Tamandua tetradactyla: one gene and its partners. The protein of the gene in region 4 purifies or fractionates together with the protein of the main gene of each other region. This does not show direct contact. Links are inferred from orthologs where the notes say so. Each region holds a gene or a part of one and is shown on either strand. Other genes may lie near its edges. The genes, in order: PRKCD, INPPL1, LRRK1 and SHC1.

Region 1 (7,886 bases), on a different chromosome or scaffold from region 4:
ATGAATGGCAAAGGCAGCAAGAGGGCTTGAGTCTCCTGGCTGCAAGGCCTGAGCACTTTTACTGTAGGCCAGGCTATGACTCCACCAAAGATTTCCTTCCCCAGAGGTGCGCCCCTTCTCCAGATACAGACCCCCATAACTACTCCCTTGGGGCCGATGCAACCTCAGGTTTTATCTTTTTGTCTGCACTTTAAATAACTTCTAGTTTTGATTTAAACTCCAATTACCTATACCATCTAAACTAAAGTGTCAGTGCCCTGCAGTCACAGCTCCAAATCATCCCCCACCCCACTGCACCCCCTCCCCCAATGCTGTTGCCAAGCCTAGGAGTGGTGGACGGGTGTCACGTAGACTGAGTGGGGGGGGGTGCTGGGGGCTCTGTCAGCCCCTCCTTCCTCCTACAAACAGTCTGGTCAAAGGGGTAGGAGAGGTAACTGACATACCAACAGACAGCAAGGCAGGAAATTGGGTTGGAGACTATCTAGGCTTTCATTATCCCTAGCTCCCAAGAGAATGAGGACCATAAAGTTGGGGGCAGAGATGGGGAGGTGGGGGATGGTTACTAAACTATACTTAGTATGTGCCAAGCATTCATTATGAGTGAAGGCTGTGCTAAAGGACTTTCAACACAGGATCTCCAGCCCTCACAGCAGCCTTCTCCATTCTGCAGATAAGGAAGCTGAGCCTTAAAGGGGCCTAGCTCAGGGCTTTTGCTCTTAAGACAAAAGACTTGAGCCCAAGTCTTTCCTGGTTCCAAAGTCTTGATCACAACACTACAAACCCCAGGGTTTTCCCTTTGGTGTCTGTCAACTTGGGAGAGTGGAGGCAGGAGCAGGGCTGGGCTTGGTGCATGTCATGTGCACACCCCCACCCTTGCAGCCTCCCACACGCTCAAATATATGCTGGGGACTCTCACCCCACCCCGCTCCCCCAGCACTGTTACCTGGGACACAGACCATGCACACACCTTGTCACACCCCCTCCTGCACCAACACCCACACTTAGGGCACTCTCAGTTCCCCACAGACACAGTCACGCCCTGAGCACACACACTCGCAGTTTCATACAGTCAGACTGTGAGTCTCCCACCAGTCACTCACTCACACTGGAACCTCACTCCACCAATGCCTCACCCTCAGCCAGGGCTGTCACACACTGGATCCCCTGCACCATCTCACGGGCAGGCACAAACACCTCCACATCTCACAAACACACACACAAACACAGGTCACACAGCTGCTCTCTGCCAGCTTGTCTGCCTGCCCCACCCCATAGTCCACAGCAGGAAGGAGGAAACCCAAGGGACCAGTCCCTTCCCTCAGTGACCAGGGCAGCCTAGCCCCAGCAGCTCAGTGGCAAAAGGAAAGGAAGAATCAAATATGTATACATACATACACACACACAGACGCTTACGTGAGGCTGGCATCCTGATACCAGGGGCTCCCACGATTAACAGCTCAAATGTAGTCATGGCCAATGGGTCACCCCATGACACACCCATGCAATGCGATACCCTCCAGACACTCACGGGGATATACACACACACACACACACACACACACACACACACACACTCCAACACATGGAGAGGAGTCTGGTGACAAAGAACACACCAAGACATGACACATACATAGTTGCAAAGGACACATGCAACCAGACACACACATACACATTGACTATTCACATACATTAAAAAGGAAACACACACAGGGGCAAGTCCCAGACCCCATGACAAAGAATATACAAGAAGGCACAAACACAATATACCCACATGCCCAGACACAGGCAACTCATTATAAGATGTAGGATCGGCACATACAGTATGGGGACCAGAGAAAAGGACCCTCCCCCATACTATCAAATCATTATGACCAGGTTTAAGCAGGGGGGTTGGTGGGGCTCTCCCCTCCCCCCAAAAGTTAGGGAAGTGGGGGCTTTTCTGACCTTGCTCACCTCCTACCCCACCCCCCACCCCAGTGGACAAAAGGGTGTGCCAGGCCCCTTCCTCCCCTTCCCCTCACCAGGCTGGGGTGGGCTGGTGGCGCCTGGGCAATGGAGGAGCCTGGCTGGGGACAGATAACCAGGCAGGGGCCACCGGAGGAGGGGGCTGAGAAGAGCTGAGGGGTGGAGAGGCGGGGCCGGAAGGGGGATGGAGGCTGGAGGGACGCTCAATTCAGAGACAGCTGGAGAGACAGAGACATCGAGACTGAAAGAAGAAATACAGCAAGAAGTAGGCCCTGCGCGGACTGGACAGGGACCCAGGACGGGAGGACAGACGCGGTGGCCAGCCTGGCCTCGGCCCTGGAGTGGAAAAGAGGACGTAACAGATAGACAGGGGACAGCGGAGGGAGAAGCGGACATGGGCAGGGGGCGGGCTCCGGCAGGACAGGACCAAGGGGTCCGGGGAGGGGGGCGATGGGGCAGGCGGAGAGATTGACACAGAAAGGGGCTGGGGAGTGCTGGACAGGAGGACATAGAGCGATGGGGATGGACAGAGAGCCCCAGAAAGACTCGAGAGAGACAGACAGACACTTGGAGGAGCTAGAGGCACAGAGGCTGTGTAGAAGGGCTAGGGACAAGGGGCCTTCGGCCCCGCCATTTGACGGAGGGACCGACAGACGGATGGACCGAGGGACCAGAGGGTCTCCGCGGACGGCGGTACTTTCTCTGGCCGCGGCTTAGTTTCTCGGTTTCGGAAACGGGAACTGGAGACTGGGAGGGGATTGAGAGGAGTGGCGCGCCCTCCGGGTAGCCCCGACCCCGAGCCCAGGCCCGGCCCTCACTCACCTCCGGGCTCGGGGCCAGGCGCCAGGGGTCTCGGTGGGCGGAGTCTGGCTCCCGGCGTGACTCCGGGACTTGCGCGGGCGAGGGTCGGTGCGGGTCCTGACTGGGGCGGACGAGGAGATCTATGCGGTACGGCCCGGGTCTCGGATCGGCTGGCGGACGCCGGGGGTCGGACGGGGATTCGGGACTCCAGCGGGCTCCCGCTCCTGCGCCGCAGCACACGGAAGTGCCAGGGGGCGGGGCGGCGCGACCTCACCCAGGTGCCGGCAGGCCCCGCCCACGGCCGGCCCCGCCCCTTGGTCCGCCCTCGCCAGCCCTGAGCCGGGGTTTGGTGTCTGCCTGGCTCGGTGCGCGTGGCTCCCTGTCTGGGCCTCTCAGCCCTTCCCCGCACACTTCGCGCTCTCGCCCGCCATGAGCGCGCGCACCAGCCCTCAGAGCGGATTCCGTTTTACAGGAGGGCGCTGAGACCCGGGCCGTGCCCCCCTGCCACTGCTCCCGTACACCCGGGTCCCCCTCGTCGGAGGCGCCGGCGGGGGTTCCCCGACTTTCCATGCTCCGGACTCTCCACTCGCCAGCTGGCTCGCCTCGCCCAGCTTCGCTCCTTCTCTTCCTGTTGGCTGGAGCGCGTCCGTGGCCGGGCTCGGTGCCCACAGCCAGGCCTGCCGGTCCCGGCCCAGACTCCAGAGACGGAACTGGAAAGACTCCAGGGCGGGAGCTTCTGGCTGGTCCGCTGCTACTCCACAGGCGGTTCTGGGTGCCGCCCCTATCCAAATCCGCCCTCCACCCCCCCACCAGTCTACCACTTTCCTGCTGCCACCTTGGGGACCTCCCCCAGCAGGCATCCGAACTTCCTTTCCAGACCTGGAACCTGGAAATGTTAGTCATCATTTATTCATTCATTCATTGACTGAGTGTTCTCCTGGGGACCGAGTGGGGCCCAGGGGAATTCATTCCTCTGCCCCCAAAGCTCTGAAAGCTATTAGCCCAATACTCATCCAAAAAATGTCACCTCCCAAAAGGCAAAAAGGGAGGTTTCCCACATTCTGGAGGAATAATTAGAGAGGAGGAAAGGGGAGGGTCAGAACAGCTTTTCCTAAGCCTAATGGATGGAATGGGGGACAATTCCTGAGGGGGCCTGAGTTGAGCAAGGAGCCCATGCAGAGGCAGTTAGCTGTGGCCAGAACTTTGATCCTCTCAAGGAGCAGGAAGGTGGTGGAGGCTGTTACTGGGATGTGATAACAGGATCAAGCAGACCTTTGAGGAGATGGATGGACAGAGGGATGGGGGTAAAAGGGGCAGAGAAGAATGGATGGGGCAACAGGGCTGGGACAGAATGGATAGGGAAGAGAGGCTTATAGGAGATAGGAAATAGGAGAGGATTGATGGGAAGCAGAAGGACTACAGTGAGGGGGAGGGGTGTATGGGGAAGGACAGAGGAGCTGCCACATTGTTCAGGTGGGAGGAGTCTGGGTTGAGGTCAGGGCAGATGCTGGCAGAGAAGGGGCCAGACCCAGATGGTTTGCCCAGCTGTGGGAATAGGAGGGGAGGGTTTTCCAGTGAGATTCCTGGGGCTAGTGGATCCCAAATCCAGTTTGAGTATGAGATCCCCAGTCGGGGAGGAGGGGGAACAGGGCTAGAGGCAGAAATACAACACTCATCTGAAGTCCTGGGGTGGGAGTGTGCGTGGAGGGGAGGGCAGGGGGTGCTTTACACCTGGGAGGAGGGAGGACCCAATTTGAAAAGAAAATAAAGATGAGGCTCCCAGTCCTGATTCCTCTGCTCCACCCAAGGAGAGCTCCAGGTGTAGTCACCAGACCTTTCCTACCATACCCTGCATGCAGTTCAACTTGGAAAAAGGGAAAGAACAGTGGCTGTCACTGACTGGGACTTCGCCAGTGTCAGGCCCTGTGCTAGGTGCTGGATGTGGGTGATCTGTTCAGTCCTCGAGACCAAGTGAGGTGAGGGCTGTTGTTAACACCAGTTTTAGTGAGGAGAAAACTAAGGCTCAGTGAGAGGTGATGCCACTTGTCAAAGGTTCTATATTTGTAAATGGCGGGGGCAGGATTCAAATTGAGGTCTGCTTATCTCCAAAGCCCATGCCTTACTTTTGAATCCGAGGTTCTTAATCTCAGCACTACTCGTCTTTGGGCCAGATAGTTCTTTGTTGTAGGGTCCATCCTCAACCTGTGCATTGTAGGATGTAGCAACACACCTGGCCTCTATCTGGTAGATGTCAATAGTACACACACACACACACACACACACACACACACTGAGTTGTAACAAACGAAAATGTCTCCAGACATTATTAATGTTCTCTGGGGGCAAAATCACTCCTTGTTGAGAACCACTGTTTTAGATCTGGGCTAGTGTTGCAGGAGCAAGAAGGATTTGGGTTAGATACTAAGAAGCATTTTTCTGGCCCTCAGGATTATGCAGACTCATGATCTTAGGGACTGAGAGCACACATTCACTTCAGCTAATTTTCTTCCTCTGGAGACTCCAAAGGAAAGTGTAATGCACTTAGACAAAGGGCAGAACAGCTGAGGCTGTGCAGCCTACGCCCTGGCCAAGGTAAAGGAGGGAGGCAGCTGGGCTTCCCTCCAGGGACAGGTGTGTATCCAGAAGCCTGAGGAGGATCAGGCTTGAGTGAGGTCCAGGGAGTCCAGGTCAAGCTTGGCTAGAGCCTCCCTGTACCCTGGATCTCCTCCTGAGTACCGCACAGAATGGGCCAGGACAGATCCAGATGAGCTTGTTTCTGTGCCCCCACAACCTGCCTGGCACTAACCTAAGAAGGGCCTGCTGAGGCCTGGGGACAAGACTTGGCTGTGCCACTTGGGCAGATGAATGCATCTCTCTGAATCTAAGTCTGCTCTGTGAAAGGAGCTGATGACCTACCTATTGGTAGGTCATCAGAGTGGGTAGAGTGGGCACCCAGTGAGGACTTGGACCACATTGGCCACATACTATGGGTACGGTCATTGTGCTGAGTCACAGATTGTCAGCCTCAGAAGAGCCCTCAGTGGCCTTAGTGATGTGGGCCATAAATCCCCTGGCAGGGCTGGGCCCAGTGCAGCAGCCAGAAGTGGTACTTTCCTTTCCCCCTCCTCCATGTTTACAGCCAAGGAAATGGGACTGTCCAGTGTAACAACTGAGCAGCATCCTGGACTCCCACCTCCGGCATCCACTGGGGCTGTTCCTCTACAGTCGCCCTGCAGGGGATGTCCAGAAGAGGGGCAGCCTGCCCCGGGCCCTGTCTTGCCCAGAGGCCATGAACACTGGGCAGCCCTCAGGCCTTCTACAGCAAGTTCAGGATTCAGTCAAGCAGCCTTCCTCTGACCCCTCCCCCAGCAGCTGTGGGTGGACCAGGGACCCCCAACTGCTCCCTGCCAGTTGGTCCTTGCCTCAGCCTCTTCCTCATTGGCCCCTCACTGTACCTCCTGCTCTCTCTTCTCACTCCCTCTCTTTGTTTCTGCCTGTTTTGCCATCCCTGTCCCTGAAGCTTTGGCTGCCAGCACCATCCCCATCACACCCAGAACGCTGGCCCAGCCAAGAGACAGTAGGCTCCTGTTTCTGGGGCAGGAAGTCCAGGCCAGCAGGGACCGTGCACCTGCACAACTGCGGGGGATGGCAGAACCTGGGAGGGTTCCACTGGGGGTAGGTGGGTAAGGAGGGCCCTTGAGACATGGTCCAACCTGCAGCCATGCCTCAGGCCACCATCAGCAGAGGCTTCAGCCTGGGGCACTGGGTGTGGGGGAGGGTAAGGGCAGGTTGGGCAGGCAGTGGCCAGGTTCACATCCTGGCTGTGTCCTGGACCTGTAATTTAAGTGCGCCTCAGGGTCCTCATCTGTGGAATGGAGATGATAAGAGTAATATCCACCTCACAGGCTTGCTGAGAGGATTGAAGAGACCAGGCTCCAGGGGCTCTAGCAGCAAAGCTACTAACTACAAAGAGTTGGGAAGGCCAAGCTAATGGTCTCCAAGTTCCTTCCTCAATTACATTTGTGCTTGGGTGAAACTTGCGAAATACTTGGGGTAGACAAGGGGAAGATGCTTTCTGAGAGCACAGGGCTCAGGGATTTTTTAAAGCCGTACAGGGGTACACAGCCCCTGACTGTCCCCACCCAACACTGACCAAAGCACAGCCCTCACTGGCAGCTCCTGGGCTTACCTGTTCCCCAAAGAACGTGGAGGGAGGGAGGATGGGGGTTCTTATTTCCGAGCAATCCCAGGCAACAGCCATCCTCTCCGCATAGAGTCCCAAGGAGCCGCCAACTCTCCTCCACTGCCCCCACCTTCCCCACCTCTGTGTCCCAGGATCCACCCTGCTCTGGCCTGCCACGTCTTAGGTGCTGACACCTTGAGTGTCCCAGATGCTCTGGGCCTCACCAGCCCCCTCACCTGCCAGTGCCTCAGTCTCCCTCTGCAGAAGACAGCTCACCCAGCCCATCTTGGCTGGTGGGAAGCTGGGAGCTTGCGGGTGCCCCGGGCTGGAGGACGGCCCCTCTCAGTGGGGAGGGTGTGGGAGGACCAATGGCACACCAGCTCCCCATGCCACTCACAGATCCCCAGGCCCACCCGGAGTACCGCGCTCCTGCCCCCGCAGGCACGATTCTCGCGCAGGGGTAATGACTGGCCCGGCAGTCCCCACCTCCCTGGCTCCTCGCCCCGCCCCAGGGAAGTCTTTCCGTGCAGAGGGCGGGGGCCGCACCCCAGCCGCGTTACAAGGGACCGGCTATAAACGGTCCGGCTCTATGCCGAGTCGGGCAACCACCTGGCGGCTTGGCGCGCGCTGACACCTGGGCCCCGGCGCCGGGTGGCATCTTCTTGGCAACCCTCCCCGCTGCTGGCTGCGGGCTCTGTCTGTACAGCAGAATCCGGGAGAACTGAGCACACCCATTTCATGGCTGTTGCAATCGAGGCCCTGAGTATGAGGATAGTACAAGGTCTTGCGGCTTGCCACCCTGGCCGCACTCCCAGCTGGGAGCCTCTGAGAAGACCCGCAGGACATAAGGATTGGATGGGACATGAGAGGCAGGGAAAGAAGAGTTGCAGAAGTCTAGAAAAGCAATGATTTTCTGCTATTCTGATGAAAAAGTAAT
Region 2 (7,711 bases), on a different chromosome or scaffold from region 4:
AGCTCACCTAGGGTCTGGAAGCGGCGCACAGGCACACCCTGCGAGGTCTGCAGGTCACAAGAGCAGGAGGAGTCAGCCAGAGGGTCCCAAGCCCCAGGCTAGAATTAGGATCAAGGTCAGGGGTTAGGGGCCAGGGGTCAGAGCTCCCACCTGCACAGCCAGAAAGTCTTCTCCATCAGGCAGAATGCGGTAAGTATGCACATGCTTCTGATACCTGATGGGAAGGCGGGTCAGACTCCTGTCACTTCCAAGCCCCAAGGTACCCCCTCCTCCTGCCACCAGGTTCAGCCCCATGGCCCCTCAGCTTGGTTTCCCTAGGAGAGCTTACCCAGACTGCAAAGGGTTAACAATGGGGCCAGTCTATTTCCACCTTCCTCCCCCCTCACCACCTTAAGACCTGCATAGACTCCACACCCACCGCAGGGCCTGGGAAGCAACAGGCATTCTTTTGTGGCCTGCACAGCTGTCTAAACAGCCCTTCTGGGCTGTGATACACGCCTGGGCCCCCCTGCCAGAGTATGAGTCTTCAGATGTCTGGTTGCCCTTGTCTGTGCACACGGGCAATGTGCAAACACGTGTGTGCCTGCTGTGTGTGCTCATGTTAGTGCCTGGCTCTGCTGGAGCTGGGTATGTCTGTGGGAGTTTGACTGGGGGGAGTTAGGGGGCATCAAACTAGGACTTTCTCTGCCTACTTCCCCCAGGAACCAAGAAACTAGATGACCCAAGGGGATCCCCTTATGGGAGACCTGGGCCTCTAGGAGCCCCAAGCTGAGAAGGGGCAAGAGGGTGCTGACAGATGGCAGCAACAGCTGAGCAGGTGACAGCTGAGCCACGCCTTCCACAGGCGCATATTCACTGGGAGGGGGAGGGCTCCCTCTGTCTCACACACCTCAAGGTAGGCTTGCCCAAGGGAGTGGCCAGCCCATGTGTGTTGGGTGGGAGGAAACATAGGCACCAGGGAGGGTCACAGGGCCAATTCCTCCCTCACATAGCCCCCTCCACACTCTGGGGCTCTCCTGGCTGGACCCAGTACAAGCTGTGTGAGTATTTGTGTGGCTGGGTTTGTTGGCTTGTGAGCTGTGAGTCCGTATTTATAATAATAACAGTATCCCATTAACTGAATCCTGTCTGCTCATCTCACTTAATCTTCACATTTTGAGCCAGATAGTATTATTATTATTATTTTCTAGATGAGGAAATGGAGGCTCAAAGCAGAAAAGTGATTGCGTAAAGGTCACCAAGCAAGCAAAAGGCAGAGCTTTTTTGGGATTTAAACTTAGGGCCTGGGCCTGTCAGGGCAGGGGTGTTTTCTGAATGTTATCTGTATACATGGGGTGTGTATACAGATCAGCAAGTACCTATTTGTTTGGGAAATATAAGAAATCACTCGTTTCTGATTTCTACCTCAGGCTCCTGAGAGGCAAAAGAACAGCCTCTCACCCCACCCCCTGGCAATGGAGTAGAATCCCTCCCTCCTAGGACAATAATGTCCCTCACCCAAACACAGGCCCCAGCTGTCCCTCTCCCACTCAACAGCTGACATAGCACCTGCCTCCCTCCCCTCCCTACTTAGGGGATACACCTCAAATGGGGCTGGGAGGCAGGACTCCTAGGACATTTATCTGCTTAAGCTGACCCTCTTCAGCCCCCAACACTGGGCCTCAGACTTGAGGCACAAACTGAAATTGAAATGTATAGGGACCCTTTCTCTTCAGGTTAACTGCCCAGTTAACTGCCCAGGCCAGGGTTTCTCAACCTCGGCACTATTGACATTTTGGACCAGATAATTCTTTGTTGTGGAGGACTGTCCATAACAGAAGGATGTTTGCACCATCCCTGGCTTCTGCTATGCCAGTAACACCATCCCAAATGTCACCAAATGTGACAGAGGGGAAAGGAGGAAACACAGGGACAGCAGGATTCAGAGGGAAGTTCACAGGGCTAAGGAGGAACATAACTCGATCTAACCAAAGCAGCCTCTGTAGCTTCCGATTCATCTGCATCCCACTCCAGAGGCCCACAGGAGCCCACTCAGTGTCAGACTGTGTGTTTGGGGGTGGGGGGGTGGGGCTGGCAGTAAGGGGTAGGGGAGCAGATCAGGGAGAAGACTCCAAAACTGAATGTGTAAACTCACCCCAACACCACTACCACACAAAGCTAAGTGGTGGACCCACAGGACCAGGACTACTTGAACAACTGCCAAGTCTAGCCCCACAGTTAGCACCCATTGCTCAGGGCTACACCCAGGACTCAAACCAGGAGCCAGGGGCACAGACCTCTGCTCATGGATTCATGCAATAATGAGACAGCCCCATGCAGCCTCACATGCTCCTCTTCTTCCCTAACCTTCCTTTCAACAGCAACCCCCAAGCCCCAGCTATGAACAGCCAGGCAGTCCAACCTCAGTCCTAGGTGCTCAGAAAAGAAGCTGCTGGGGCTCTTCACAGAGTCTATCAGTCCCTCTATCCCCAACTCCCTCTACTGCTTACTACTCAGACACTCAATCCCTATATAAACAGAACTGGACACAACCTTGGAACACACATCCTCTCTCCACTGCCCCTTGGACATGCAAGATGCCTGGGAGAGTCTACCAGGGACTGCCTGCATTTTCCCCCATCATCGCATACTCTGAATTCGAGTCCCCAGACACACAGCAGGAAGTGCCACTGCATCCTTCTTCAGCCCCAGGATAATGCCAAAGCCCCTACTCTGGGGGGCGCTGGCGTCCCACCGCCCCAGTCACCCGGCCGCATCCCATCCACTCCCGCCTTCTCCCCAGCCCAGCCTGCCCGGAGCCCCCGCCCCACTCACAGGACACAGAGCGCGAAGGCCCCCGCCACGCTCTCGCTGTCGCGGACCAGGAAGCTGCCATCGCGGCCCGCCCGGGCAAGCAGTTCCTCGGCGGCGGCGCGGCTCAGGTCACTGTGGTACCACGCGGGAGCCGGACAGCCCAGGGCGCCCCCGGACCCGGCGCCTCCCGGGCCAGGCGCCCCGCACGCGGAAGCCATGGCCCGGTCAGGGCTCAGCGCTGCCGGCACCAGCCGCTCCGCGCCATCCGCCCCCGGCCGCTTCGGGCTGGGGTCGGGGCCGGGACACTGTCCCGGGGCTGAGAATCCGCAAGCGACCCTGGGCCGGGGATCCGGGCTCCGCGCCCCACCGCGAGGGCCGCCTCGACACCGCGCAGCCGCCGCCGCCTGCAGCGCCGGCCACAACTTGAAGAGAAAGAAAAGTTTGTTCAGAGGCGGCGGGGGAGGGGCGCAAGCGGAGCGCAGAGCCGGGCGGCCGGCTCCCTCCCCCTCCGCTCGGCCCACGACCCAGATCGCCCCTGCTCCCAACCTCTTACCCACAGAGTCGTGTCCCCCACATTCTTGCAGAACCCGGGATCCCCCAAACCGCAGGGGGACCCGATTTCCCAAACCCCACAATGATCGTTCCCCCGCCTCCACCCCCAATCAGCGCTCCGCAGAAATCCAGTCCCCAAATCCCCCATCGAAGTCCGAGTCTCCCCATCCTATACCCAGACCCTTCGGGGCACCGTCCCTGTTTCCTCCTATCACGAGAATTCAGCCTCCCTTCTATACCCTTAATATTATCACTTCCAACCCCCATAAAGGTCTGATTCTACCCCAAATCCTTTTCATCCGTCTCCCCTACAGCACCGCAGGATCGAGTTCCAAAACCTGCGAAGAATGAACCTCCCTTCATCAGTCTCCCCATCAACCGAGGGGGCCAGACCCCCAACTCCCAAGAAATCCAGCCACCTCTTGGCCCCGAACCTTAAACTCCACTGGATCCGGCCCTAAGAAATCCCGCAGGGCTAACCATAAAGATCCGAATCCCTCAGACCAGGGCCTGTGCCCTGGGACCCCTCACTCCCCGTCCCCGCAGCCCTTCCCGGCCAAGGGTAGGGGCCCTTCCCCCTCTCGGCCAAGTTCCCTGGCATCACTCCCCCTTGCCCGCAGGGCCAGCCTTGAGGGGTTCAGCAGTCCGAGACGAGGAGGCCCCTCCTTATCCCACTAGAAGAAAGTTCCCCCAAATCCCCGACCTCTCCCCAGAGACCCGGCCACCTCGCGCAGGCCCCCACCTCCGGGCTTCTCCGGTGCCCCTTCCCCGGGAAAGCGGCCCTGGACTCTCAGCGGCCACTTAAGATGGCCATCCGCCGCCGCCGCCGCCACAACCCCCCACCCCCCGCCTTCCGCCCCGCCCGCTGCCCCGCCCCCGCGGCTCTCGGCGGAGACTGTGGGTAGGACGCTCGCTCCGCCTCAGCCGGGTCGCGATCTCGGCCCCGGAGCCGCTGATCGAGTGACCTCGGGCAAGTCACCGCTCCTCTCCGAGACTCGGCTTCCAGCTCTTTAAAATAGGGAAACTGTTAGGAGCGCAGACTCAATGGGACGGTGCTTGTAAAGCTCTCGGCACAGGGCCTGGCACCCAGCAGGCGTTCCCGAGCGGCGGCTATTTTTATTATTAATTAAGGAGTAAAGAAGGTGACAGCTGTGTAAACTGTAAAGCGCGGCTGCGGAACGAACGGGTATTATTAGCACCCACCCCCACCCCGGCTACTCCCTCCAAGTCAATAAACTTGCTCCCCTGTGGGCCGAACGCCGAGCTGGTTGCACCCAGGACTCGGCACGCTCCGACGCCCCCCGACTTACCCGGCCCCCTCTGGCGGCGGGCTGGGGGAGAACGCGGCCGCCGGAGAGGGGGCGGGGCGTATAGGAGGGTCTAGCCCTCCCCTTCCCAAAAAAAGACCTAGCCTTTGGCGGCGTCTCAGGGGAGTCCGCTTCCTGCCCCGCCCCTCCTCCCCTGGCTCCTTAAAGGCGCAGGCACCCAGCCGCGTGCTCAGTAGCCAACTCCTTGTCCACCGAACCCTTCGACGTCTGAGAGAACTTTCCTGTTGCTAAATTAAACCTGTTGACGGAGTGCGGGTCAGTCCTGACAAGATCCTTCCTCCATTTCAAATATCCATTGGGTTAGACCCGCGGGAACAAAACCTGCGACGTGGAGGGAGCTTTGTGGAACCGTTCAGACCAGATAAATATGATAAAGTAAGAAATTTCCGCTCCCACCCAGCAATGTCTCCAGACCCCACCAATCAGTACCCGGCTTCCCTCGTCAGTCACCTCTTCATATGAGGAAAGGTGAGCCTGGTGTGCGGGGGCAAGAGACCTGGACTAGAAACGTGTGTCCTAAGATGGCCACTCACCTCAGCAGGTCCCTGCGCTCCACGGGGCCTCTTTTCCACCCATAGAACTGTGGTCAAGGTGTGGAGACAAAGACTTCCTCTGGGGAGAAAGGGAAATGGAAGTTCCAGAGACCAATTCAGGCCTAGCCCCTGGGGGCTGAGAAGAGACGCAGCAACTCTCCAAGACAGGTATATCTACAGAAACCAGAAGGGGAGAAGGTGTCCAGGAAGGAGGCCTTCCCAACTCTCTGGGAAGGACCTAGCAGGGCTGGACCAGTTCCAGACTCTTGAATATTCCCTCCGCAGTCCACTCTCTCCCTCCTCTGAAGGTCCCAAGCCCCAGCTCTGCCCCTTCAGTCTGTCTACATGTTGGGCAGTGTGAATTTTTTCACCACCACTGGGAGTTCAGATCCGTCCCTGGACTCCTATTCCCAGCTGTGCTATTGCAGACTGAGTGCAGGGCCAGGCTGACTAGGGTTGGGGGAAAGGAGAGGTTTTGGAACCAATATAAATAATGAAGCCTTCGTGCTGCAAGAGCGACAGAACAAGGACTAGGAATGTGCAGGCACTGGGCTCCCATGCTTTCTAGGCAGCAGCTCCTTTCCCTCTCTATTTCCCTCTCTATTTCCTATACCACAAGGAAATAGAACGATGACTTGACAAATTTTTTTTCTTTCTTTTTGAAATATTTTGTGTTTTGAAATATGACATACATACAAACAATAAGTTTCAAAGTACATTGTAACAAGTAGTTATAAAACAGATTTCAGAGTTTGATATGGGTTGCAGTTCTACAATTTTAGGTTTTTCTTTCTAGCTGCTCCAAGACACTGGAGACTAAAAGAACTATCAATATAATGATTCAGCAGTCATACTCATTTGTTAAATCCTATCTTCTCTGTTATAACACCTTCTTCTCCTTTGATCCTTCTCCCAGTTTTTAGGGGTATCTGGGCTCTGCCTATTCTTTTTCATGTTGGAAAGAGGTGTCAATAGTATGGGATAGGGGGATGAAACTAGTTGATGTTTTTGAAGAGGCTGGCCTCTCTGGGTTTCAGGATTAATCTGGCCTAGGAACCATTTGGAGGTTGTAGGTTTCTTGAAAGTAATTGTAGTATGTAAAACTTTTTACATACATAATGTAGTATGTAAAACTTTTTTGAGGAACCTCAGATAGAGCCCTAGGTGTTCTTGAGGGTTAACAGGAATGGTTTTCATTGGGGTTTGGCAAACCGTGGTAATTAGCGGTATCTAGCTGAAGCTTGCATAAGAGTAGCCTCCAGAATAGCCTTTTGACTCCATTTAAACTCTTAGCCAGATACCTTATTTTGTTGCATTTTCCCCCCTTTTAGTCAGGAAGGCGATGTCGATCCCACAGTTCCAGGGCCAAGCTCATCACTGGCAGTCATGTTCCACGTTGCCAGGGAGACCTGGATGACATGTCCCACGTAGGAGGGAGGGTAATTATTTTACTTACAGAGTTGGGCTTAGAGTGAGAGAGTCCACATCTGAGCAATAAAAGAGGTTTCTAGAAGTAACTTTTAGGCATAACTATAGGTAGGTTTAGCTTCTCCTCTGTAGGATTCGGCTTCATAGGAGCAAGCGCTCAACTTCGCCTATTGACTTGGGAGTGCCTAATGTTTGACACAGTATCAGGAGTTTCCCAGGTGGTAAAGTTTAATAGTTCAATATTTTTTCTCCAGTCCTTCAGGGTGCTTTGCCAGTCCTTTTTAATTATCTGCCCACCATAGTCTGAGATATATCAGGTATTACATTAAGCTACACAGAATTACAAGCCCTCATTCCCACTCTGGGCTCCGTGTGTTTGGGTTGTTTAAATGAGCTATCCAGACAAGTTGAGTTTGATTATATGCTACAGAAAATGTAGATATTGGACAGAATAAATCTCTCTTCCTTTGATCTTATACATTAGGTGTAGTTCTAAGTAATGCCATCCTTACCCCTGTATTCTGATTTACCTTAGTCCCAACCTGTTTGACTTTGTCCTTATCGCTAAGTGAAGCCTGATCTCTTTTTTGGTGTCTTTAACAGTTGTTTTATGTAGCCGTGTTGGCTTTTCAGAGCTGCCGAACTCCAACACTGAGTCTTAGGTGTCATACAGGTAGCCAAAGTTCCACGGAAATATTCCGTTATACACAGCATCTCGAAATCTAGGAATAACATTTATAGCTCCAGACTGAATGTAACTGCTATGTGAGCTTACAATGTAGGCCCCAATTTTCTTATCAGTATTTTCTAAAAAAGACCGTACAACATTTTTTCTTTTGTTTCTGGCTTATTTTGTACCACATTATGTCCCCAAGGTTCATTTATCTTGTTAGATGCCTCATGATGTTGTTGCTTTCTGTAGCTGTTCAATATTATATCATATGTTTATACCACAGTTCACCATTCTACTTCTCAATGAATGTATCCTTCAGCCCCTCCATCTATTGGGCATTGTGTATAATGTCCAAAGTCAACAATCCATGTCTCACATTATCCTCACTTAATTGTACAATCATC
Region 3 (7,230 bases), on a different chromosome or scaffold from region 4:
CTCACCCAGCATATTTTGTTCCCCTTTTCATTTTCAGTTTCCTTTTGAAAATCACTTTACCAGAGGAGGATTTTGCCCCCGGAGCAGTTTTAATTATAATTTGTACATTTGTTTATACTCTAAGGTAATAGTTTTAAGATGAGGTAACACAAGTTTTACGCTATCTTTGCCCTCAAACTGATCTTTGCTTCCTCCTTTTTCTTTTGAGTTCAGACCAATGCAATAACTCATGGTCATAAATTATATATATGTATATATATATTCTTTTCATTATGATATATACCTCTTAGGTGGGCTTCAAGAGGATTTCTGAAATAATAATTGTCCTAGATATTTTTCAAAATTCAATTTTTTTTCCATTTGCTAATCCCTTATACTTGCATTAATGAATAAACCTAAATACTTATTGGAAAAACAAACAAACAAACAAGGAACCTGCTGTTAATTCTACAACTGTTTATTGAGCCCTTTCTGTGAGGCATGAACTTCGTGAGTTCATGAAACTTACAGCTGGTGGGGAGGAAGTCAAGTCAGTTACAGCTACAAAGTTTCCATCAGGGAAGAAACAGGAGACCCCGCACCCCCCACACTGTTTTCTTTCAAGAGATTTGGAAAGGGCTGCCACAACCAGAGTTGCAAGACACTTGCAAAAGAAACAAACACATTAGAAATACTAACACAGACCAGCTCCTTTTTAAATCAAAAGCCTGGTCAAGTTGATTGCTCCATGGTTCTAGACCTTCCTTTAGCATTATTAGTATCCCTTTACTGATATCCATTCGTCTTCAAAATGCATTGACAGGTTTGTGAATATCAAGATAATCATGGAGCTGCACACAGGAAAAGTGTGTGGTTCTCAAACCTAGAGGAGTTCCTAAGGGTTTGGCAAAAGAAGAACCCATGAGCCCGAAACCACAAATAAGTGAAGGCTGTCCCATTCACCATTCAGTTACACCAACAGTCTGCACTGGGCATCTCCTGTGCAAGGCAGGGTTCTAGGAATCAGGGACTGGGTGAGGAACATGTTAGGCACAGTCTCTAACCCCAGGAAGCCAAAGTTGGGGAACAGCCAGGTAATTAAAAGAGAAATGGAATAAAGAAAGTATACACAAACACAAACAGCGGAGAATGTAAGAAGGACACAAAGAGAGGGATGTGAGAGAGAAGGAGGGTGGGTTTAGCCAGGTTCGACAAGGCAGGCCTTCTAGAACCTTCTGAGGTATCAACCTCATCAAGAGTCAAAGGACAGCAATGCAGAGGCCCCGCACTGGGGACTGAGCTCAGTCAGGGTGACTGGGAGTCCAGTGGGGCAGCCCTCCCAGATGACAGAGACCAGATCCTGCAGGGGTAGAGGGGAAGGGGTTCTCTAGATTTCATGCCAATTACAAGGAGAAGCTCTTGAAGGCTCCCAAGCAGAGGAGTGACATAATCTTATTTACCTTTTCTTTTTCTTAAAAAAAAAAAAAAAACCTCTCTGGTTCCTAGAGAATGGAGTGGGTGGGGTAGGGTGGAAGACAGCAATCCTAGGGGAAAGAGGTGTTGGCATCTTGGGCTAGGGTTGGAGGCTGAGAAAGAAGTGGATGGCCCTGGGACACCTCTGGAGGTAGCCCCAACGGAACTTACTGAGGAACTGTATTCGGGGCATGAGAAAACGGGATCAAGGATAACGCCTAGGGATCCGTTCATAGCAACTGAGTTGAGATAGGGCCACTCCCTGACACGCAGCAGCCTGGGGGAAGAGAGGGCGTTGGTTGACATCAAGAGCTCCTTTAAGAATTTGGTAGGTGTGAGGTTTGTATGCCATAACCTTACGTTTTCACCTAAGTTATGCTTACAAGACATAAGCAAAGATACTGAGAAGAAAATCCTAATAAAATATTTAACTGTTTCCATTTACCAAAACCCTGCGTATGTTAGTTGTATCATTAATATTCCAATAGATTGATAATACCTCTAAAAATCATCTACTCTTTGGGTGGGGGTGGGAGTTAGCTAAAAAAAACAGCTCTCGGTTCCTGGGTTTCTCTGCCTCTCAAGCCGCTGCTTGCACTTGTGTTCGTGGGAGGAAAAATTTTGTGCGTGGCCATCAAACTGCAAACGGCCACCTGGTCTGGCTGGCCACCAAGCAAGCTCTGGCCTCCCCCATCACCATCTCCCGCCAACCCCCCGGGGCGCCCCGGGCTGCACTCATCTCACCGCCCCTGTGACGGCTGGGGAGGTCACCCGCAGGGGAGGTCACCCGCAGGGAAGGCCTTTGGTCTTAATATCCGGCCAGAGATGCTACCCTTGAGCCAGGACGCCCCTGACTGTGGACAGTGAAGGCACCCTGGGTCTTCCCGCATCACCCGGGCCGCCCCTGGGAGAGTGAGAGCCCGGGGCTGTCCCTTCCAACACCCTCGCACTCACGCTCACAAACACGCGCGCGCTCCAAGTGGAAGGAGGAGTTTTCTCCAAAGGCGGAGGAGACGCCGAGACGCCCGCCTGGTGGATTTTCCTACTTTTGTTTCTTGTCGCTGCTCCCCCTCCCCCTCGCCGTCCCGGGGCCGTCCTGCGCAGAGATCGGGGGTTCGGGGGCTTCCCCCTGGGCCCCGCACACGCCTCCGCCCCGGCCCGCGGGGGGGTGGCTCGGGTTCACGCGCGACTTCAGGAATCGGGGCTGTGATCGCCGCGCCCCGGGAGCCCCCTCGGGATGTGAACGCGGCCCCTGGGTCAGGGCGCCCGGTCCCCCACCACGCGGCCGCCCCGAACGCGGGGCCCGGGCTGCGCCGCCCGCGGGCGCAGGGCCAGAAGGCTCCACGCAGACCCCCGAGTGCGGGCCCGGCCGGGGCGAGCGCCGGGAGCCGCGGGGTCGGGTCGGGATGCGGGAGGCCGCCTGCCACCCCGGCGGCCCGGGCAGCGCTTACCTGCGGCGGCGGCGGGCGGGCTGCAGAGCAGGGGCTTCCCGGGGCGGGCAGGAGGACACCGGCGGGCCGGGCCTGGCGCTCCGACCGCCCTCCGCCCCCCGCGCCTCGGGCGGCGCGCCGGGGCCGGGCCGGGACCAGACGCACTTCCTCAATCCTGAGGCGGGCGGGAGGGCGGCGCGAGGAGCGCGGGGCGAGGCCGAGGCGTCCCGAGGCTGGGGGCGCCGCTGCGGCTCCCACCGACGTGCGGACCCGGCGGCCCCTTGGTGCCCTGCCTCAGTTTCCCCCAGCCGGCAAACGCAGGTACGAGCAAGTTTCCTGCTCCCAGCCCCAGGAGATGACTGGGCCCCAGGGTCCTTCCTGAGCGAGGCCCTCCTCCAGGTTTGGGGACTCCGCGTAACGCACACCGGGTCCCTTCAGATTAATCAGATTAATCAATTCCTTTTCGGATTAATCTGGTTTTCGTTGTCCCTCTGCTCTGTCCAGCATCATCATTTCCGGATTAACCTCGCATTTGAATGCTGCCCAAATTCCCGCAAAGCAAGGGTTGAAAATACCAGTGCAACCTGCCTACAGAGCTGTATGAAACTAGGGTGTTTTTTTTTTTAAATGTTCTTTTTTGCAAGCTGCACCTCTTCCACCACCTTAACTGACTACCTACCTTAATTGTGGATCTACGCAAAGATGAAGCTATTTGGTGAATCATTTTTTTAAAATTTATTAATTAAAAAAATTAAGAACAACAAAAACATTAACGTATCATTCGGTTCTACATACATAATCAGTAATTCTCAATATCTTCACATAGTTGCATATTCATCATTGGTGAATCATTTTTAACTGTCTGCTTTTTAAATTTGTAGTTCAGACATGGTGCCATGTGGCCGATTAATTATGCCTCAACCTAATATATGAGGATGTTTGTCACCCACTGAGGCACTAAGGCACCCACACATGTCCACGCGGCAGGCAGCCCTCTGATTTTTGACATTCTTGTCCACTGAGGAAGGAGAAGCGGGCTCAGAAAAAGCGAATCGTTCCGCACCCTGGCAGGACAAGCACCCGGGGCGCCTCTCGTGTAGGGCAACGGCTGGGAGAGCCCCAGGACTTAGCGCAAAGCACATGGGCAAATCGCCACGACTCTCAGGGCCCGGCCCCTTGCTGTCTGAGGGGACCTGGGCAGCTTGGCTCTGCTCCCAGGCGGCTGCCCCTCAGACCCTTCTTGCATCGGGCGCCCTTCCAAGAGGGCGGGTGCAGTTTTGCAATCCCTTTTTTTCCCATCGGCCTCCTAATACCAGGATGCAAGGCCAGCAGTATTGCGGCTATCGAAAAGTCCCTAATCATTTGCAGGGCGGGGCGTCATTGGTGTTGAGCGCGGCGCCTTCCCAGCGCGCGGCCCCGCCACCCAGCGACTCGGTGGGGAAGCGCAGCCTAGTCCCGGGCAGACCTTGGAGTGGACAGGCACCAATGTAATGCTTCACTTCCCTTATAAAAGAGTTTGTTAGTGGGATAGAAAATGGCCCCAATACGAAAAGCAGACAGAACATTCGACACACGGGTGTCCCATTTTGAGCTGGCTATTCCCCATCAGTCAGCTCTATCCATTGGGGGTGACTTATCAGGTTCTTATGGGAAGGTCCTTACAGGTCAGATGATTCCTTTCTCCTTTCTTTCACCCTGCTAATGCATGGTCCTCTCACATTGTGCTCAGTATTCCACCCAGCTTTTCAGCACCTCAAGTTGGAAGGCTCCCTCTCTTAAATATTTTACGAGGGATCCGATCCAAATTTTCTCTTAATGGAGCTGTGCTTCGCCAACACATGGCAAGAGTGTTTTGGATTTTTGAAATCAAATGCACAGTTTGACCTTGGTGAACCTAATGAAGTATAAGGAATGTTCTAGATCCAATCTCTGTGTCAACTCGAGACTTGGTGACTGAGGCTTCTTGTTTAGAAGTCTTAGAAATTTGAGGTAAGTTAAACCCAAATATCTAGTGCCTTGTGGAGAGAGAACCAAAAAATGGACACAGTAAAGGGAATACAATGTTTTCCCTAAATTTGCACACAACCCTTCATGCAACTATCCACACACATGGCAAACGTTATCAGCTTAGATGACCAGCTTAAGTCTAGCCATTGAAGACACAGAGCCACTAAGGCAGAGCTCCCTGCCTGGTCAACCCCAGTGTTTTTCACAGACACAGGCGAAGCATTGAGGCCTGATCAATTGAGCAAATGTAATTTTATTCTTCAGCCACTGGTACTGCTATATTACAGGTCATTTTGCATAGAAGGTCTAGGAAAGAGAAAAACTCAACCAGAGAATTAAAATGGGTTTGGTTCTCAAATGAAAAAGCATAAAGTTTCTCAAATATCCGATTTTATTTGATCATAGCTCCATTGTAACTTAATCTGCAGTTAGGATCAGAATTCCCAGGCCAATAGGGTTTTAAACTGTATCACAGGGTAAACCTTTAAAGAAGTAAAATCTAACACTATATAGATTTCCATTTCTAAATACAGTATATTACAGAAGGCATATCACCTCTGTGTACTTACAAACTATAAAAAGATACAATAACTCTACCAATTATAAATAATGTAGCATTTCATATTAAAGGCATTATTGTACAATGAAAGAATAAGAACCCTCTAATGTATTATGATCAAGGTTAGTGTAATAGTTGAGAACAAAATACTGAAAATTCAGTGTATGAAATAAAATCCTGATTTAACAAATTCTTGGTAGTGTAAGTGCTAACTGATGGAGAGGGTGTGAATTATATATTGTGGATTTCTGACAAGGATGAAAACCCTCTTTCGCACATGGCTTCCTTTGTACACAAACTGGTTTCGATGGTGAACTTAATTTTATAATTGCCTCCCCTCCCTCAACTTAATTCTCAAATGTAAGTAATAATTTTCCAATTAGGAAAGTACAAATTAGTAACATTAAAAGCATCTGAGGAACATAAAATTTGGTTTCTCTCTTTTTTTAAAGCTATATGGAAACACTTTCAGTTTTCCAAGCTGAAACAGAGGAAATTGCACATGATTTGGATACACAAACAGGAACAGCTCTACAACTTGTTAGTGAAGTGTTCAGACTTGGATCTAGTAGGAAACCCCACTCCTCCATGGAGTCCATGCCTTACTTGTTGACTAATCAGAAATTAATATCCAAAACAGGGCTTTTTAAAAACAGGGCTATATTATGACACGTTTCTTTCCAGTTGTGTGTGCTTTAATAACCTAAAATGGATAACCAAACTGGAAGAAGGAAAAAGTATATAGGCTTATCATAAACCACTAACGAATGTGGCAGCATTGCATAACCTGTAAAAGTGAATTATTGCTGTATTGTTTTATTTTTTAAATTGTGAGACAATTACTGGAGGATGTGCTATACTGTCTTAGTGCCAGAGCATTGGATTCTTAGCAGCAAAGGTGATTCTAACAATTGTTTTGCCTAAGAAAGTGCCTTGATAGTCCATGACATATGTTTAGAATAAGCTCTTTGGGCTGTTGATTCAGTTATATTGCAAAGGCGGTATTGGTTTTCAGCTGTGTTCAATGCTCAGTGCGCCTGTCTTTGAAGACCCACGTGCACCCAAAGCCTTCTGCAACCTTCCCCAAAGCTTGTATGAGCTTCCCCAAAGCTCCCCACAGTGGGTCCTCACAATCCCTTTTTTTATTAGTTTTAACTCAGCGCTAGTCCATTTCCCACTGAACAGTGCCTTTCAGTCTTATCCCAGGAGGAGGAAGTGCTTGTTCTATTTGCAGGTGAGCCGAGCACACCACAAAGGCAGGGCCAGGCGTGCAGACCCTGCCGAGAGTTTTTTCCAAATTCTTACCGTGGTCAGATTCGGCAAAGCATTTTTAAGCAACCATTGGACACTTCAAATGCCACTCCCCCTGAAAACAACGTGGTGAGCACTGTCCCTGTCCCCCGGGACCTGGTCTAAAGGGGGAAGACAGAAATGGCTGAGAGCTCTGCCCGGACAGTGCTACAATCTTGCACACAACCTACGGGCATCCCCAGCTAGATCAATAGAATAGAGTCAGAGGAAAACAAACTCGTTCAAATCCAGTCGACTGAAAGTTTCCAGGGGGAGGCATCCCGGGAAAGTCCGAAATGTAGTTGTTTTTCTTCGGCAAGTGTCGCCCGCCGCACTCAGCTGTCAAATGTTTGAGGAAGGACTCTGCCTGAACTTCAGTGGTCCTTGTCGTCGAGTTTGATGGTGACGGTTTTCACCTCTGTGTACTCACTGAGGGCATACTCGCCTCTGTGATCACAGAAAAGAGAAATATTCAGAATGGGCGCTTTCCTT
Region 4 (7,557 bases):
CTCCTCCAGCGATGACAGAGACTCATTCCGAAGTGGGTTGTACTTGGGCTTAGGGGGCAAGAGATCCATGGCTGGGGTGCGAAGGGGGCTGCTGCCCAGCCCGGCCCCCCTGCCAGTCAGGGCAAGGGGGCCAGGCAAGGGGCATCCCAGGCCCTTAGCCTGGTGAGACCGCTATGGTCTAAGAGTCCCAGGAGTCCTGGAGGGAGAGGGATAGGCGGCTTTTGCTCCCCCAGCTCAGACCCAGACAGTTTCAGGGCCCATCCCCGCCCAACGTGGAGCCTCTCTTCTGGCGAGAAGAGAACAGGCTGGACCCAGAGCTGCCTGGCTCCTCCCCAGGGGCGGGAGCAAAGAGGAGAGACCAATCGCGAGGACAGTGCTGACTCACAGGCTCAGAGGGGCTGAGCCCCCACCGCAGCCCCGACTTAGAACCCTTGCAGGAGTAGAGATATCTAAGCCCCTTCTCCCGACCCCACCAGAGAGGAGTAAAGTGCGGGTTGTGGGCTAAAGGGAAAGATGGAGAAGTGGGAAGGAAAGGAGGGAAATGAGAGCATGTCTGGATCAGTCCAAACAGGACATGGGCAGGCCAGGGGGTGCAGGAAGCCAGGATGGGAGGGTGGGGGGTAGCAATGAGAGAGGAAACAGAGGCAGCTGAGGGTGGGATCCCTGAGCTCAGCACTTCCCTTCTAGTCCTGGTTGAATGCTCACATTCCCCCATCCTCCAACCCCGGCCACCTCCCCACCACTACCACACACAGTCAAGGTGGCCCCAGGGAGCCTGAGCCATTAGCTTTCTCTGCCACAACAGCTGGGGACTGGAGCTAGAAAAATGGGGAAGGGAAAGAAGTGGTCCCAGTGGATGCACAGAGGGGCCAAGAGGAAAGGCAAAACTGGTGAAGTGAAGGGGATAAAGCTGGAGGTGACAGCTGGAACAAGAGGACAGGCTAGTCGAGCCTTGTTTCCTATGCATGGCACCTACATGCCAGGCACAGTCCTGCCCCTCTTCCCACAGGCTAGTCAGCAAAGAATGCTGTCAAGGCTAAGAACTGAGAGCCAGAGCACTAACTTGAAAGTCAACTCCCTGGATCCATCAGGTGTACTCCTGTACCCCTCCTCCCCCCCACCCCCAGCAGTAACTGGGGAAGGGGCAGGGGTTCATCATAGAGCACAGTGTCCTCCACACCAGGGGACGGATGGGAGAGTGGATCAGTTTTCCAAGTGAAATGGGAGCTATGGGCCACTAAAGGACAGAAAAAGTAGAAGACAGATTTGTCTTAAAATCTACAGAAAAAAAAGGAGGCCAGAAGAAGACAGGCTGAGGCTGGACACAAGGAAGTCTCAAACCCATTCCTTCCACCCACAGCTTCTCACCACAACTGTGCTTAAGGGAGCAACAGAGTAACTTAGGAAGCCACCAAAAAACAAGAAGTAAAAGACACATACCCCCAGCTCACCTTGGAATTACCCTAACCTGAAATTTACTTCAGAGGGTAAAAAAATGATCAACAATATTAGCACTTAAAACATGTGAGACACTGTGCTAAACTCTTTCACCTCCCATTAGCCCTCATCCCAGGAGAGTTTGTCACCCCAGCCACCACTCCAGAGAAAGAATTCTATCACTCCGTCTCCTAAGACCTCAGCTCTCAGGTCTAGAGAAAATGAAGAAGGGATTCCTCAGACTCACACATTCAACACACAGTAGGATATCCTCATCTTTCAAGACAGCCATTCTGTGGCTGCCAGAGGTCGGGAGCAACCAACAGGTGTGGGCATTTGGAAGAAAAGAAAGAGGAACTTTGGCTCTAAATTTGCATAGAAAGAAAGAAAAATGCCTACTGGGAGCCCAGGTGGTTGGGTGTGGGGACGTTGTGTCTGGCTTCTCAGCCCAGCAGGGAGGAGGCAAGCTGGGAGGAAAGTAGCAGGAAATGGTGAAAGCCTCAGGAATGTTTCCAGCCGGGAAGGCTAGGCAAGCGGGACCAGGAGGAATGCCCAGACAAGAACTCCGGCTAGGGGGAGGGGAAGAGCCAGAGAAGTGGTGGGAACCGAGGAGTCCCTTAAAATAATCAACCACCACCAGGTAAACTGCTCTCAGCCCCCACTCCAAACCCGCATTCTCAGGTGACAGAAAACCCTCACTCCCGTCACACCCACACGCTGCACACCACTGAATCCACAGCCCTCCCCAGCTCGCGAAGTGCAGGTTATGACATTCAGCTCTTCCTGGGGTGGAGTCGGTCCTGGAAAGAGAAACTAAAGGAGTGGGGCTTGGCATCTACAAGCAAATCTCTGTCCTACTCTCGTACCAGACCCCAAGTCCCTCTTCAAGTCGGTCCACCACTGGAAGGGGGTGAGGGGCTGCCTCTCTTACTCCTCGGACGAAAGATGGGAACTTGTCTTCCCACTCAGTGGGGCATGAGAGAGCTCAGGAAAGCTGAGTCCAAAGCTCAGAAGACAGAAAGGGAGGGGAAATGTAAGTATTAATGTACAGCGTCTGGAATCAAAGACAAAGCCTCTGAGGTGGTGACCTGGGTCCTACAGGAATAAAGTTCCTGTGGGGGCGTGGCCCCTAAAATGCGTGCAGCAGATACTACCGAGAGCCAAGGTTTCTACACCATCAAACGCAGATTAAGGGAGAGGTGTGGCTTCTGGAGGGGTGGAGCCCCTAGAGAGGCGTGGCTTCAATTAATTCGAATAGTTCCTGGAGGGGCAGGGCTCGGCCCTTCTGGGAGATAGGTCTTTTGACAGACAGAGTTAGCGGAGAATCGTCCAGAGGAGGCGGAAGTTCAGACAGTTGAAAGGACAAACGAAGGGTTTCTAGTAGTAGGGATTGGAAGCATGTCTGGGGGTGGGACTTCCAATAAAGCTGGCGACAGGGTGGGGTCAGGAACAATAGATGGAAAACAAATCGGGGTTCGGGGAGCCCCCCCTGAAGTTGAGAGGTGGGACTTCCGGGAAGGGGGTCTTAGGGGGCGGGACTTGAAAGGGGAGACCGGAAGTGGGGTCCCGGGAGAGGGGTTCCGGGGTGGAGGTGTGGGTCACCTAAGAAGAAAAGAAGTCAAGACTCACCAGGGCCTCATGGAGTCTCCGCACCGCACCGCGGGCCGATGTGGTTCCGGATTACGCCACACTGCCTCTCTAGGTCGCCGCTCCAACTTTCTCCCCGGGCCAGGCCTCCCTGGAGAAACTTTATTGCACCTACTTCCGGCCTCACTAACCCCTGACCCTCTACCTCACTGTCTCTCCTTCGCCCCGCCCACTTTCGTAAATCAGCCAATAGCAGTGCGAGAGCGAGCACAAGCGCAGCGATAGCCAATAGGAGGCCTATTTTTGTCCCACGCTCGTTCTAGAGAAACGTAGGATACTGCGCTCCAATAAAGACTCGAGGAGAAGAAATCTAAGCCAATCAGAGGCTTGAAGGTGGAGCTGTCCCGCCTTGAGCCAAACAAGCCAATAGGAAGTGCGGGCGGTGTGTTTGAAAGCGAGGCCAAGGAGGGTGGGAGCGCGTGCTGCTGGGAGTTGTTTGGAGCTTGGCTGCGCCGGGCTGGGGGCCCTCAGTCAGAGCCATCATGTCGCACAAACAAATTTACTATTCGGACAAATACGACGACGAGGAGTTCGAGTACCGGTTAGTGCCGGCGCGGGGGCCGTAACGTGGTCGTGAGCCTTGACAAGTGAGAACACGAGGCGTTAGTAATGAGAACTGAGGCGACAGATTCGGCGCATGCGCTGGGGTTTAACGGGAGTGCTGTGAGAGCGTGGAGGGCGTGAAGCGCATGCGCAACGCGTCGGGCGCGCTCGGGAACAGATAAATTGGTTGCGAATTTGGACTCTTGAGAGGAGGCGTGGCTTAGAGTGTGTGTTTCGGTCCCTGACCTCCCAACCCCCCATCACCTTTGCAGGTTTCTGGAGTATTCTCTCAACTTTGTTGGGCAAACCGTCTAGGACCAGAATGCCTGCGGGGAGAAGTTGGCAAAAGCGGAATTGGAGGTTTTCTAGTGTCCTCAATGTGAGGAGAGGCCTGAGAGGGTCCAAATCTGGCTTATTTTGGAAGGGGGCTGCGAGGTGGAACAAATTGGCTAAGAGAAAAGGTTTAAGATGAGTCTAATAAAAACTTTAGATATTTGAAGGGCATCTGTTCAGGAAACAATTACGAGTACTTACAGGTTTCAGGTGTCCTGCTAAGATGCAAGGTTAATATAAGACGTTGTCTCTGCATTCAATGAACTTAAAATCTGTGGAAGATACACTTATATGATATGATAGAGATGTGTACAGGGTGTGGTGGGATTTATAAAACCAGCCAAGGAAATTGGTAGGTCTGGGAACGCTTCCTCGAGAAAACTGCCTGAGATGGACTCAAGGAAAAGATTAGGAAGGAGAAAGTGCCTCAGAATCAAGTTGCTGGTTAGTCGTCTACCACGGTTGGCAAAGAAGGAATCCCTGGATTGTATGCACAGTTAAGATTTGATAAATCCATAATTCTAGATTGGAAAATGAGGAAAGACAGAGGATTCTACAATTGTTAACATTCTACTAATCTGTATTAATTGTAATAATTAAGACAACTTTCTGTTTGCATATTGTCTCAATTGGAGAGTATAAAATGGAAACTTGCTTTTTGTCTTGTCTCTTCACCTGGCCTAATGCCTGGCTCTGAGTATACTTTGGAAAATTCTGTGTGTGTTGACAAATAACCATTTTCATGCTAGGTCCTTGGTAAAACAACCCCAAGCCCTTCTCGGATGCAATTAACTTTCTTTTCCTCAGCTAAACACCTCTACATCTGAACTAAACTAACTGAAACTAGATACTTATAACATCTTTGCAGGGAGAAGTCACTAGTTTCATCCTTTGGGAGATGTAACTCTTAGCTTGGCAAAGGTAATTTGGTTTAAGAGGTTTTTGTTAAATTATGTACTGAAGCCAAACTTTGTGGCAGAAGCTTGTTAGAATGTAAGCTATTTTCAGACATCTACACTAGAATTATCTCTGGGAAAAAACCTCTTACTAGCACAGAGGGAGCATTTAGTACATTTTCACTGAACATAATGAAGTCTACCCAGGTTAGCCTGGTTCAAGCTCAGAGTAATAATTTTTCTGTCATGAAAAGAGATTTTTCCCTGGCTAGGGAAGCATGGAGTTTCCCAAAAGAAGTCTCATGGCATATCCTTATTTCAGAATAAGGAAAATGATTTGGAATAGACTTTAAAAGATAAGATATTTCCATTTCACTCTTTGTGGTGGCTTTTCTACACAGCAATACATAATGGGCCTTTCTGCTCCACAAAATTGCTCTCCCTTTACCAAACCTGTTCAAAACCCAACTTAATTATTAATGTTTGTTGTGGGGCTTTCATTATGTTATGGGTAATCAATGAGAAGACTGTAAGCATGATGAAGGCAGGGACAATGTATCAGTACGTGAGACTTAAGTGCTCATCCATTTAAATTATTTATAAGGTACTTTTGTGAGGATTTACCTAACTTAGGCTGGATTCATAGCTGGCCCTAGCCCTCTATATACAATAAGGAATGTATAAACTCCTGACTTCAGAAACTGGTTTCTCTTTTCTCTCCTCTCTTGGCTTTGTTTGCAGGCACTTGTTTTAACAGACTGTTCACAGTGCTGACACAAATTCCCTGCCTTCCCTTGTTTCTCTTACAGGCATGTCATGTTGCCCAAGGACATAGCCAAGCTGGTCCCTAAAACCCATTTGATGTCTGAATCGGAATGGAGGAATCTTGGTGTTCAGCAAAGTCAGGGATGGGTCCATTATATGATCCATGAACCAGGTCAGTGGAACAGCTAAAAGCATCTGTATAGGGCTGGTACACTGAGAGAACGAAGGAATAGTAAGTGTGCTGCCCAAAGAAATGGGGGAAGGAGAGCATGATTTACTGGCTCTTTCCCCTCCATCACCTATCTAGAAAAACTAGAGTGACCAAAAATAAAAATAAGAGTAAAATATCCATGAAGTTCAGAGACAACCTGTCACTGAAGAAATCTCCTTTTAATTTTTAATTCATTCAACAGAGAATACTCTTTAAGGCCAGCTATACCCTGGTAGAGGTTATGGCCCTGTTTCATTCTCCACTAGAAAGCCGATTTTTGGATGTGTTCCAAATAAGCCAAGAAAAATATATTTGTTGATAAGACACCAGACACCCAGCTGCCAGGCAAAACTAATAAGGGACATCCCAGGGCTGTACAAACACAGCAAAAGGATTATTAACCATTCTGTACTTGGCAGAATTGCCTCTGGGTCTGCTTCTAGAGCCATATGCTTAAATCTTAATTTAGTTAAAGATCTAAGTGGGTGAAAGCTGGGAGGTGGCCATGGGACAGCATGAGATAAACTAAGTTGTGCACAGAATGGTATAAACTTGTCTCTTAAGATTTCACCCCTCTTTCAGAACCTCACATTTTACTGTTCCGGAGGCCACTACCCAAGAAGCCAAAGAAATGAAGATAGGACACGATTTTTCAACCTCAAGCTACACACAGCTGTCCTTACTTGCTAACATCTTTCTGATAATGTTGCCTTCTTGTTTCTCACTTTGATATTTAAAGGATATTCAATAGACTGCTTGAATGTGCTGGTGACTGCTTTGCCTCTTGAGCAGAGCCAACACCACCTCTACCCAGCGAGATGAGTGCTCTTTGGGCCGTAGCCTCAGCTAAGTGTGACCCCAGATGCCATGGTGGGCTCTATATCCAGCAGAACACACCTGGCAGATGGAGGGAGCATCTGAGAATAAGACCCATGGCTCAGTTACAGGGATTGTGTAAACTTGGTGTTTTGTTTTTTTCCTGCCGGGTGTTGTATGTATGGTGACTTGTGGCTTTATGTTTCAATGTATTGGAAACTTTCCATTTTATTCAGGAAGTCTGTTCCATGTTAAAACCCTTGATTAAAGAGGAAGTTTTTATAATCCAATTCTAATTGAAAGGTTTTTTTCCCCCACCACTGTCAGGGTGAGCATCACATTCAGTATCATGTTCTAATTATCTGCCGTTCAGTTAGATAATGAAGCTAGGCTCTTTGCTGATAATGAGGTTTATTTCAACATTCAGGTAATTGGTTTTTAATCTACTTGAAACAGACATGCTGTCCAACATCTACTGAAATATATTTCACTCTAACTGCTGACCTGAGGTAGTGGCTATATAGCGACAACCTCATCCCACCAAAACATGAACAAGTTGCTTCAGTCAGGACTGCCTTTAACCTAGACCCATATTTGAAGGTTATGTGAGGGTAAAGGGAGGAGGCTGCCAGCCAGAGAACACTAATGTGCTCCAATTCTTGCCCAGCATAAGGCTCAGGCGCACTGTTCGTTGGTTGGGAGTGTTTTCGATGGTTCTCAGCTTTGGCTGGGCATTAGCATTACCTGGGTAGCCTTAGAAACACTGATGCTGTGCTCCCTAGAGAGTCTGATTTAATGGGTGTGCAGTGTGGCCTGGCTATAGGGATTTCAAGCATTCAATATGCAAGTGGCTACAGCACTAAGCTTTGAAAAAACATGTGTGGACTGTAACTGTTTAGGAAAATATTT

Evidence for each region.
Region 1: the proteins of SHC1 (region 4) and PRKCD purify together in Homo sapiens (affinity purification with mass spectrometry; 3 studies listed by BioGRID and IntAct, with this or other methods). This does not show direct contact. The link is inferred for Tamandua tetradactyla from reciprocal best matches to the Homo sapiens genes SHC1 and PRKCD.
Region 2: the proteins of SHC1 (region 4) and INPPL1 purify together in Homo sapiens (affinity purification with western blotting; 4 studies listed by BioGRID and IntAct, with this or other methods). This does not show direct contact. The link is inferred for Tamandua tetradactyla from reciprocal best matches to the Homo sapiens genes SHC1 and INPPL1.
Region 3: the proteins of SHC1 (region 4) and LRRK1 purify together in Homo sapiens (affinity purification with mass spectrometry; 3 studies listed by BioGRID and IntAct, with this or other methods). This does not show direct contact. The link is inferred for Tamandua tetradactyla from reciprocal best matches to the Homo sapiens genes SHC1 and LRRK1.

What each region holds. Positions count from the first base shown.
Region 1 is NC_135341.1:32,530,753-32,538,638, forward strand, and holds the start of PRKCD (protein kinase C delta type), read right to left. Parts: upstream 3,001-7,886; 5' UTR 2,788-3,000; intron 1-2,787.
Region 2 is NC_135334.1:74,050,980-74,058,690, forward strand, and holds the start of INPPL1 (phosphatidylinositol 3,4,5-trisphosphate 5-phosphatase 2), read right to left. Parts: upstream 3,015-7,711; 5' UTR 3,012-3,014; coding exon 2,815-3,011; intron 215-2,814; coding exon 151-214; intron 48-150; coding exon 1-47. UniProt on the Homo sapiens protein: Phosphatidylinositol (PtdIns) phosphatase that specifically hydrolyzes the 5-phosphate of phosphatidylinositol-3,4,5-trisphosphate (PtdIns(3,4,5)P3) to produce PtdIns(3,4)P2, thereby negatively regulating the PI3K (phosphoinositide 3-kinase) pathways.
Region 3 is NC_135338.1:83,680,744-83,687,973, forward strand, and holds the start of LRRK1 (leucine-rich repeat serine/threonine-protein kinase 1), read right to left. Parts: upstream 3,014-7,230; 5' UTR 2,904-3,013; intron 1-2,903. Other genes in the region: ALDH1A3 (retinaldehyde dehydrogenase 3), read right to left, coding at 7,113-7,185.
Region 4 is NC_135330.1:7,961,593-7,969,149, forward strand, and holds the start of SHC1 (SHC-transforming protein 1), read right to left. Parts: upstream 3,015-7,557; 5' UTR 2,273-3,014; coding exon 1,685-2,272; intron 1,672-1,684; exon of another isoform or gene 70-1,671; coding exon of another isoform or gene 1-69. Other genes in the region: CKS1B (cyclin-dependent kinases regulatory subunit 1), read left to right, coding at 3,567-3,625, 5,666-5,793, 6,415-6,467. UniProt on the Homo sapiens protein: Signaling adapter that couples activated growth factor receptors to signaling pathways. Participates in a signaling cascade initiated by activated KIT and KITLG/SCF.